Neurospora crassa OR74A: one gene and its partner. The protein of the gene in region 1 interacts with the protein of each later gene in a pairwise test. Links are inferred from orthologs where the notes say so. Each region holds a gene or a part of one and is shown on either strand. Other genes may lie near its edges. The genes, in order: cdc15 and NCU08878.

Region 1 (4,612 bases):
AGGAAAGCCTCCATATCATCACCTGGCTGCGATGCCGGCTCTTTTTGCTATTGTTAACGATGACCACCCACCGCTTCCAGAAGGAGTCTCGCCGGTTCGTCTCTCCGTGTTCTCAAGCTGCGTGGATTTGATATGCTGACCACGAGAATAGGCTGCTCGTGACTTCTTAATGCAGTGTTTTCAAAAGGACCCCAACCTTAGAGTATCGGCGAAAAAGCTTTTAAGACATTCGTGGATTCAAGGCTGCCGGAGGAGTGATGCGCCGATATCGAAAGCACCATCGAACTTTATTCAGGCCGTCGAGGAAGTCAAGCAGTGGAACAAGGCGCTCAAGTCATCGGAAGCCACCCCTAGAACATCGATTGGTTCAGATCACGGAAATCCTTCCACGCAGAATAGAAATGCTTCTGGCCAACATCGTCCAAATCTCTCTATTTCGACAAAGGTGCCCCCACAGCAAGCGAAGCCGAAGGCGAATGCAGAGGTCTTTAGGTCTCCTGCGGTAGAAGCTGGTGAGTATCAAAAAATCAGGACGTGAAAGTTCTAGCTGACAGATTGTGACAGATGATGATAACTGGGACAATGACTTTGCCACTGCAATTTCACCTAGTGCGCTTCACCTCCCTCACATCAAAGGCCAGGATAATTTTGGAGGACTACTTTCCAGCGATCGGCTCAAAGCGTTTGCGTCCATTGACAGCTCGCGGGAAGATACGGAGAATTGGGACGAAGACTTTGGCGGAGAATTTGAGCAGACGATTCGTCCCTTGCCGAAACGGTCAGATAGGGTGTCCGATTCCAAGTCTTCTCAGCAAGGACATAGGCGGCAAAGGAGCAGCAAAACCACGATTTCAAGCGCCTCCCAGACTAAGTCGCCTGTGAGGACGCAGTTCGGAAACAAGTTTGAACTTCCACCCCGTCCTGAATCAATCTATCGTGAGCAGTCTACCGAGGATTACTCTGATCTCTTTGGCGATACGGACTCTGTCTTCAGTAGCCGGCTTAATGTTGCTGTCAAGGTAAACCTTCTCTCTCCCTCTTTGTCGCCTGATCCCTGTCGCCAATTTGCTGACCGTCTTGCTTTTGTAGGACGCCCCGCAACTATTTCACCCTTCTGATCTCACTAGTTTACCGCGCTCTACGGCATCACCTGTCAATGGCAGCAGCGGGCGGAGACAGTCAGCTTCCGCGCGGTCACCATCAGCCCCTGAGAAGCCCGCCGTCCGAAGGACAAGGATGACAGTAGAGATCACAAAGTTTGCTGAAGACGAGGGTGATGAGGACTTTTCGGACATTTTCGGGGCCGAACCGGAAAGCTTCACAAAGCCGCCCAAGAGCGATGAGGGATCAGAAGATGGCCATCAACTCATGCTCCTTTCCAAGTTGTCCAACAATTCTTGGCTTGGGGACGACGAAGATGAAGACGACCCCTTTGCGATGATGGATCCAGGCTGGGATGAGATGGATCTCGAGGCCAATATTGCTCGTGATAGACATGCTAGGTTGGCCGAGAAGGTGGAAGAGAGGGTCAAATCTTTGAAGCCGACGGAGAGTGAGGATATACTTGCTGATCTGGCTGAAGACTTGCTCAATCTTCTATGGGAAAACAGCGAGGTCAAGGATCTCATCATCAGTGCACATGGGTTGCTACCGATCCTGGAGATCTTGGAGCCCTGCACAGTGAAGAGTCGTCAGCACATGATCTTGCAGCTGCTGAAGATCGTCAATGCGGTAGGTGCCAATATCAGTGTCCATATGTGAAAAAACTCTATGGCTGTCCGAATACTGACTGCGAGCAGATCATATTGGATGACGTCGAGCTGCAAGAGAACTTGTGTTTCGTTGGTGGTATCCCTATCATCACCAAGTTCGCTGCTCGGCAGTATTCGAACGAAATCCGCTTGGAGGCCGCAGCCTTTGTTCGGCAAATGTACCAGACTTCTACCTTGACGCTGCAAATGTTCGTCAGTGCAGGCGGTCTCAATGTCTTGGTAGAGTTTCTGGATGAAGACTATGACATGTCGCCAGACCTTGTTCTTATCGGCGTGAATGGCATTTGGAACGTCTTTGAGCTTCAGGTAAGCCTTGTCCTTCAACACATGTCTTGATGTCAAGAAATCGTGCTGACTGTCACTCTAGGGCCCAACCCCAAAGAACGACTTTTGCCGCATATTCTCGCGAAGCAAAATCTTGGACCCATTAGCTGCAGTGCTGCACAAGGTCTTGGATGAAGATGATAGGGATGAGCTGTCCGAGCTGATTGAAGCTCGCATCGTCAACATTTTTTATCTCTTCTCGCAAGCTGAGAACTATGTGAAGGAAGTCGTTGCCGAGCGCTTTGTACTCAAAAGTATGTACCCCTTATCATTATAAGGCCGGGTCAGTTGCTAATTACCATCACTCAATATAGCTGTCCTAAAGGACCTCAGGCGGATGACACCTGCTCACCAAATCACTATGCTCAAGTTCATCAAAAACTTATCCATGCTGTCAACCACGTTAGAGTCATTACATTCCGCTGATGCCATTGACTACTTGATCGACGTTTTGAGCAACTCGATGAAGAGAGGGCAGCAGCATTTCCGCGAGATCTCCAATCAAGTGCTCAACACCATGTTCAACCTATGCCGACTCAGCAAGGAGCGTCAGGAATACGCTGCCAGCAATGGTATCATTCCACTGTTGCTCAAGATCATGAAGACTGATCGGCCGCCCAAGGAATTCGTCCTCCCTATTCTCTGCGACATGGCGCACTCGGGCAGCAAGGGCCGAAGATATTTGTGGCAGAACAATGGGCTGGAATTCTACGTTTCGCTCTTGGCAGATCAGTATTGGCAAGTCACCGCGCTGGATGCTATCTTTGTCTGGCTAGAAAAGGAGACGGCCAAGGTTGAACACCATTTGCTCGACGGCAACTTTACCACGGCGATCACGTCTTGCTTCAACACTAACAAGGCAAATGCTTTCGACGCCAACCTTCTCGAACCGCTTCTGAAGCTTGTACGACTTAGTCCCTCTGTGGCAGCATCACTTGCCAAGGTGGAGATGTATGCTGGTATCGCCCAGAAACTGAGCCACAAGAAGGCCGTTGTGCGCCTCAACTTGCTCCGTCTCGTGCGCAGTATCATGGACGGCTGCGAAGTCAACAACACTCCCATGGCGACCCTAGCCACTTCGACTGCGGGCCGTGCGCTGCGTGTTCTCTTTGACGATATACAAATACTGGCAGATAAGGATCCAGCAGTATTGGTGCGTAACTTGGCATCGGAGATCGTTAGAAGCCACATCGACATCGACCTACAACACGACGTAGCAGCCTTGGGCGCACTAAATATGGGCGCTGGGCCCTCGGCCATCCCCAATCCGCTCAACAACCTGAGTTCTGGACCACGCTCGCGGTCTGGCCCCCGGCGCAATACTAGTTATACACCGCCAGGCTTACATGCCAGCATGTCCATGCCGCCCACACCCACGCACGGTCACCGAGCCTCGCATTCGTCTTCGGCCGCATACATCGAAGTAGCATCAACGCCGAAACGCTCCGGAATCTCCCTAGCCCAGGAGCGCGAAGCAATGTATCGGCCGCACAGCAGAGACGGCGGCGTCCCGCTGATCAATATCCCACGCCGAGTTAGCCAAGACACCTCAGCGGGCATTCCTTCGTTGTCCTCATCCATGGGCTCGGCCGGTGGCCTAGGGACGCCCTCAAGGATGCGACTGCCCCGCATGTCCATGACGCAGTATAGTTCTCCTAGACCGAGTCTATCATCTGCCGCCACGGCGCCCGGAGCGGTCTCAGCGACGGGCATGGGGATAGGTAACTCAAGCATAGCGAGCAGTCGTGCCGAGCGTGAGCGAGAGCGAAGCGAAAGTTCACTGAGTAACCATAACAAGGAGAACTACGGGCGGATAAGGTCCGGATCATCAGTTGCGGGTCCCGAGGCGAGGATTCTCGGAGGAGGAGGGCTGTACTCGGTCTCGCCGACAGGGAGTGCAGTGAGCTTGTCCAGCAGTTTTCAAGGTAGTGGAGGAGGAGGAAGTGAGGGGTTCTCACGCAGCTACGGAGCGAGGGAATCATCGTTCTCCGTTATGGGTGGTAGTGCGGGCGCCGGAAACGCTAAGCGCAGAAGTCGAGCACCTAGTTCGGACATGAGGTGGTCGTAGGACGGTCATCCTCTGTTGCCGAATAGTAAGCAGACAACTGTTATTGGTGATGGCTCTGAGTCTGGTGATAACGAAAGGCAGCGTCTTGGTAGTGCTCGTGGGACTGGGAGCGAGGCGGGAGTTTCTACTTCTTCGTCTACGGCGCCGAGTACACCTACTAGTAGCGGTGGCAGGATTATGGGTGGGAAGAGTGAAGTTCCGCTTAGTGCTTGCGGGAAAAAGACTGCTGGTGGCAATATCGCTTCTGGTAGTAGTAGAGAGGGCGTTGTTCGTCCTAGTTCTTCTGGCGCTGGCAGTAGTGGTGGTGATGGTGGTCTTCAGCATGGTCATGTTAGACAACCCAGACGGGGGCTATTATTGTCTGGTCGAACGAATTCGTATCCTGTTCCTGCTTCGGCGGTTAGAGATGATAGGAGAAGAAGATAAAATAGTGTTATGGATAAAAGAA
Region 2 (4,340 bases), about 3.7 Mb from region 1:
CTGTTGGCAGTAACAGAGAAGGGACGCGCAATGCGGACGGAGCTCTGGGCGAAAGCAGAAACGACGGAAGGACGAGCAATCCGGAGGCAGCGAGCAATGGAGGCCATTGTGACGGTCGGTGGTTTGGGCGGAGGGGGGGTGGACGGAAGGCGTGTATATCGGCGTCGCTTGGTGGTGTCGCAAGTAGTTGTTAGTGCTCAATCCAACCTATGCACCGGCCACAAGTCAGAAAAAGGCACAGACAGAGACGGGACCCGGGGTACATCCGCGGTACTATCGAATGACGAAAACAAAGTGCCGGCCACCCGACAAACGGCTAGACTCGGGGCCAGCAGCTGTCAAGGCCGGCTTGCCAAGACCACAGAACCGAGCAGCGGGAGATGTCGAATGCAACCCATATTATGTAAGCGCACCAAAAAGCAAACCATAGCCGGGCCATCAAGGTGGAACGGGCCGGATCTGGGGAAAGATCAACTGAAGAAAAACAAAAGCACGTCACCGGGCAACACATGGCAGACCGGACTTGCAAATGGATGGAGTGAGTGTCCACTGTTTTGAGTGCCCACTGCACCCCTTGGCAAGGAGCTGAGGCAGCATGGCACTCGGCGCGGGAGGGTGTGAGCAGTCCGTCGGTTCAATGGGCAATAGGCAAAGACGTTGGAAAGGCGCAAGGGGAGTGATGTGCCATGGCTTGCTCCAACATGCAGCCCGCCATAGGTTGATGCTTCCGATGAGGTTCAGATGCTGCAAGGGCCCGAGTGTGGATGTTCTGTTTACATATTGGAAATTTGTTGTGGACATCCATTGTTTTGTTGGAGTTATCGCCATCTTTCTTGCTCATCAACGGTTCAGTTGCCCGATGTGCACCACACACAACTGAAATAAGCCCCTCTGCCGGTGTCACCTTGCCCTTCTGCCACTCACACTGCATCATCTCAAACATACGTGACTGCTGTGTTGCCTTGATATTGCCGGGTGCCAATCTCCCTTCAGCTGTCAAGGACTTCCATGTTGTTCTGGCGCGGGGTTCATCTTAATCGTGATTGTCATAGCAATATCTCGGGGCCCAATTTGGAAACTCAAATCGTTCGACGTGGGATGCACTGCCCGCCTACCCATCTCCACATGCTCGCTCGGGCTTGTCGTCAACACAGCTGAATGTTTTCTTAGTGTACAGTTTGATGGCAAACGGACAAGGGAGCAGCCGCAAGCGCCGCCGCGCACATGAGGATTGAGATCTCATCTTGACGCCAACGAGAGGACCCCAGGGCAGTCCAGTGTTCGAAAAACAGGCGCCTAGCCCAGCCAAGCCAAGCGCTAGCGGACCCACAATCTGCGATCTTTAAGTGGAGTCTTGGTCTGATCAATTCCCTTCGATTGGAGCTCCTTCCCCTTGGTCCGTGCGTGCCCAGCTAGCTTCATCGTGTGTACCTATCGTCACTCTGCTGCCCGTCAGCGCCGCCAGCCCTGCACACGCAGTTGCGGGAGTGTCTAGCCTCTCTGGAGGGTCGGTACATAGCCATAGGTACGCCAACATCAATCCGACGACTCCTTGCATAGCATCTCGCAGCAGCAAGCATTCAGTCTGAATCCACTTCCATCAATCATTCATATTCCATCTCCATTCCCACTTCACTTCCATCCATCGATCTTCCAACCCCAGCTCGTTGCTGCAGCATCACTACATACACTACATACGACTCCGCCCGCACTTCAGCTGCCATCGGGAATCCATTCGTCGCCGTCCGCAGTCAGCAGCAGTCTCCACAGCCTCGGTGAAACAAACCCACAGGGTGCCCAGCAGGTACATACATACCTACATAGTCGTCGACTTATCGCACGATCCCCGATTGCGTTGCATCTTCCACGGCCGACCCGGCAAACCACAATTGTCTGTCTCCAGGTAGCAAAGCAAGAAACGAGCAACATACAAGCAACCATTTACAAACCACTATCACGCGCCATATACCCATCCTTTTAACCAACGGCCAACTTATCCGACCGCGCCGTCTCAATCACCAAGACCAACCTTTTCCCTCCCCTCGTCCCATCTCGTGCAGTCGCCCCTCCCCCCCGCTTGCCGCCCGAACCCACGAGGAAAGCGTTATACGGGGTTTCACCAAACACCACAAACGGACCACGACAAACCGATTGCTGGATCCCTCCCGTCCGACCCCTTTCCGCTGGTCTTCGTCTCGCCCGCACAGACAACCCAGCATCCCAGGCTGAACCTCTCTGTCTACCTACCCCTCCTTAGGCCTCATCCATTGTCAAGCTGGACTTATCGCCCTTCTTCGCCGGGTCCCCGGACCAGTTCCTCGATAACAACAACCACAACAGCAACATGGACACCGTGGTGATGGATCACGATCAAACCATTAGCCCAAACGAGGCTCAGCTTCCTCACAACAACAACATTCCAGACGACAACATGGGTGGTCTGGAGGATTCACCCCAAATAACACCCGACCAAAACGGCTTCCCAGATCGCCATTACCAACAGCAATTCGATCAGAACCTCAACAGCTCACCACGGTCATATTCCCAACACGACAACTTCGACTCAGACCGATATGCCACGCCACCAGCACCCCAGCCTTCAACGTCACGACCGCCCTCGGGGCTCGACGGCCAGAACCCATCCCAGTCCGCAGAAAACGGCTCGCGGACAACCGCCGGCGGGAGTTCCAGCGAGCAAGCCAACGGGCGCAATCATGTCGTGATCAAGGTCGGCATGGTCGGTGATGCGCAGATTGGCAAGACAAGCTTGATGGTCAAATACGTCGAAGGCAGTTGGGACGAGGACTACATCCAGACTCTGGGCGTCAACTTCATGGAAAAGACCATCAGCATCCGCAACACCGAGATCACCTTCAGCATCTGGGATCTTGGCGGTCAACGCGAGTTCGTCAATATGTTGCCGCTCGTGTGCAACGATGCTGTAGCCATCCTCTTCATGTTCGACTTGACCCGCAAGAGCACGTTGAACAGCATCAAGGAATGGTACCGCCAGGGGCGAGGATTCAACAAGACGGCCATTCCCGTCCTTGTAGGCACAAAGTACGATCACTTTGTGAACCTTTCGCGGGAGGAGCAGGAGGAAATCTCCAACCAGGTAGGATCCGTCATTTGTGCGTATACGGCAAAGTTCCTGCTTGCTGACGTTACTTTTCCAGGCACGGCGATTCGCCAAGGCCATGCGTGCGGCATTGATCTTTAGCAGCACCAGTCACAGCATCAATGTCCAGAAGGTACGTCACACTTTGTTTGCCGCAACTGGTGCATGGTCTGACTGTTTCGCAGATCTTCAAGATCGTACTATCCAAAGCCTTCGATCTAAAATGCACAATTCCTGAAATTAGCAACGTTGGCGAGCCACTTCTCTTGTACCAGTCGGTATAGGTTGATGAGTAAATTCGACGCTGTCAACCGTCTTCGCGACAACTGTGCGAGCGGCCTCCTCCGACGATCTGCAATTTGCATTAATACCCCTGGCTGGTGTCGGAGCGACGGCACATGTTGAGTACCTGTAACGGTCACTCGACAGCGACGTGGGAGACCCAATTAACGGAATACCGAGGCGCGGTCCCCTTTGCATATATTTGCTTCGAAGCCCCTCCCCCCTTTTCCCGTGCCCGAACACCCTCGAGGCAACTCCACTCATCAGGACAATCGCATTTTGTGATTATTTAGTCCGTGGCTTAGCAAATAAAGCACAATGGAGGACGGCAAATGGGCATGGGTCGTGATAAAAACGAGACATAATAGTCTTTGGAGTCCGGTTGTAAGGAACGGCTGGCGCAGGACCGATCATACCAAATTGGGCATCTCAATCCGAAATACGATGGGGAAGGGTATTCTATACTATGAATACGGAGCGCAAGGAATACGTGGGGCGCGTGCCTTTGGCCCTTCAGGCGTGGCATCGTCCCCGGTACAGGTAGAAAGGGACTGGATGTTCATTCTTTGGTAGTATGTGTTTTAATTCCCTGTTGGCAGTCAACATATCGGTATTTTCCTGCACATTCTTTGCCTTCTTCTTGCTCTCCAAGCCGATGGCACGAAACACTACCCGCCTCTCCCCGCAGACGTTCCGAGACATCTATCATTTTTTTTCAACGTGTCGCCTCAAAACTGACACCATGTATCTTCCGGCGTATGGAGTGCTCAGTCGGTCTACCATAGAACCAGCCACTTGACCAGAAACAAATGGCCACGGAGGCTGTATATGCAAAACATCATATATCCGTTACCAGAATCATCTGCTGAATAAAGTGCCACTGGGGTTGGGACAACTCATAAAGGTGAGCTTCCTCCTCTGCAAGAAGGAAGAGCACGTA

What was found.
Region 2: the proteins of cdc15 (region 1) and NCU08878 interact in a two-hybrid assay, tested with the Schizosaccharomyces pombe proteins (3 studies listed by BioGRID). The link is inferred for Neurospora crassa OR74A from reciprocal best matches to the Schizosaccharomyces pombe genes cdc7 and spg1.

The regions. Positions count from the first base shown.
Region 1 is NC_026505.1:3,692,945-3,697,556, reverse strand, and holds part of cdc15 (cell division control protein 15), read left to right. Parts: coding exon 1-94; intron 95-151; coding exon 152-512; intron 513-564; coding exon 565-1,019; intron 1,020-1,089; coding exon 1,090-1,731; intron 1,732-1,799; coding exon 1,800-2,078; intron 2,079-2,139; coding exon 2,140-2,350; intron 2,351-2,410; coding exon 2,411-4,164; 3' UTR 4,165-4,612. UniProt on the Schizosaccharomyces pombe protein: Protein kinase essential for cell division. Plays a key role in initiation of septum formation and cytokinesis.
Region 2 is NC_026505.1:35,321-39,660, reverse strand, and holds the start of NCU08878 (TEM1), read left to right. Parts: upstream 1-1,498; 5' UTR 1,499-2,344; coding exon 2,345-3,115; intron 3,116-3,176; coding exon 3,177-3,251; intron 3,252-3,303; coding exon 3,304-3,402; 3' UTR 3,403-4,340. Other genes in the region: NCU08877 (glycine cleavage system H protein), read right to left, coding at 2-107. UniProt on the Schizosaccharomyces pombe protein: GTP-binding protein essential for the induction of septum formation at G2 and pre-START stages of mitosis. Acts via the cdc7 protein kinase pathway.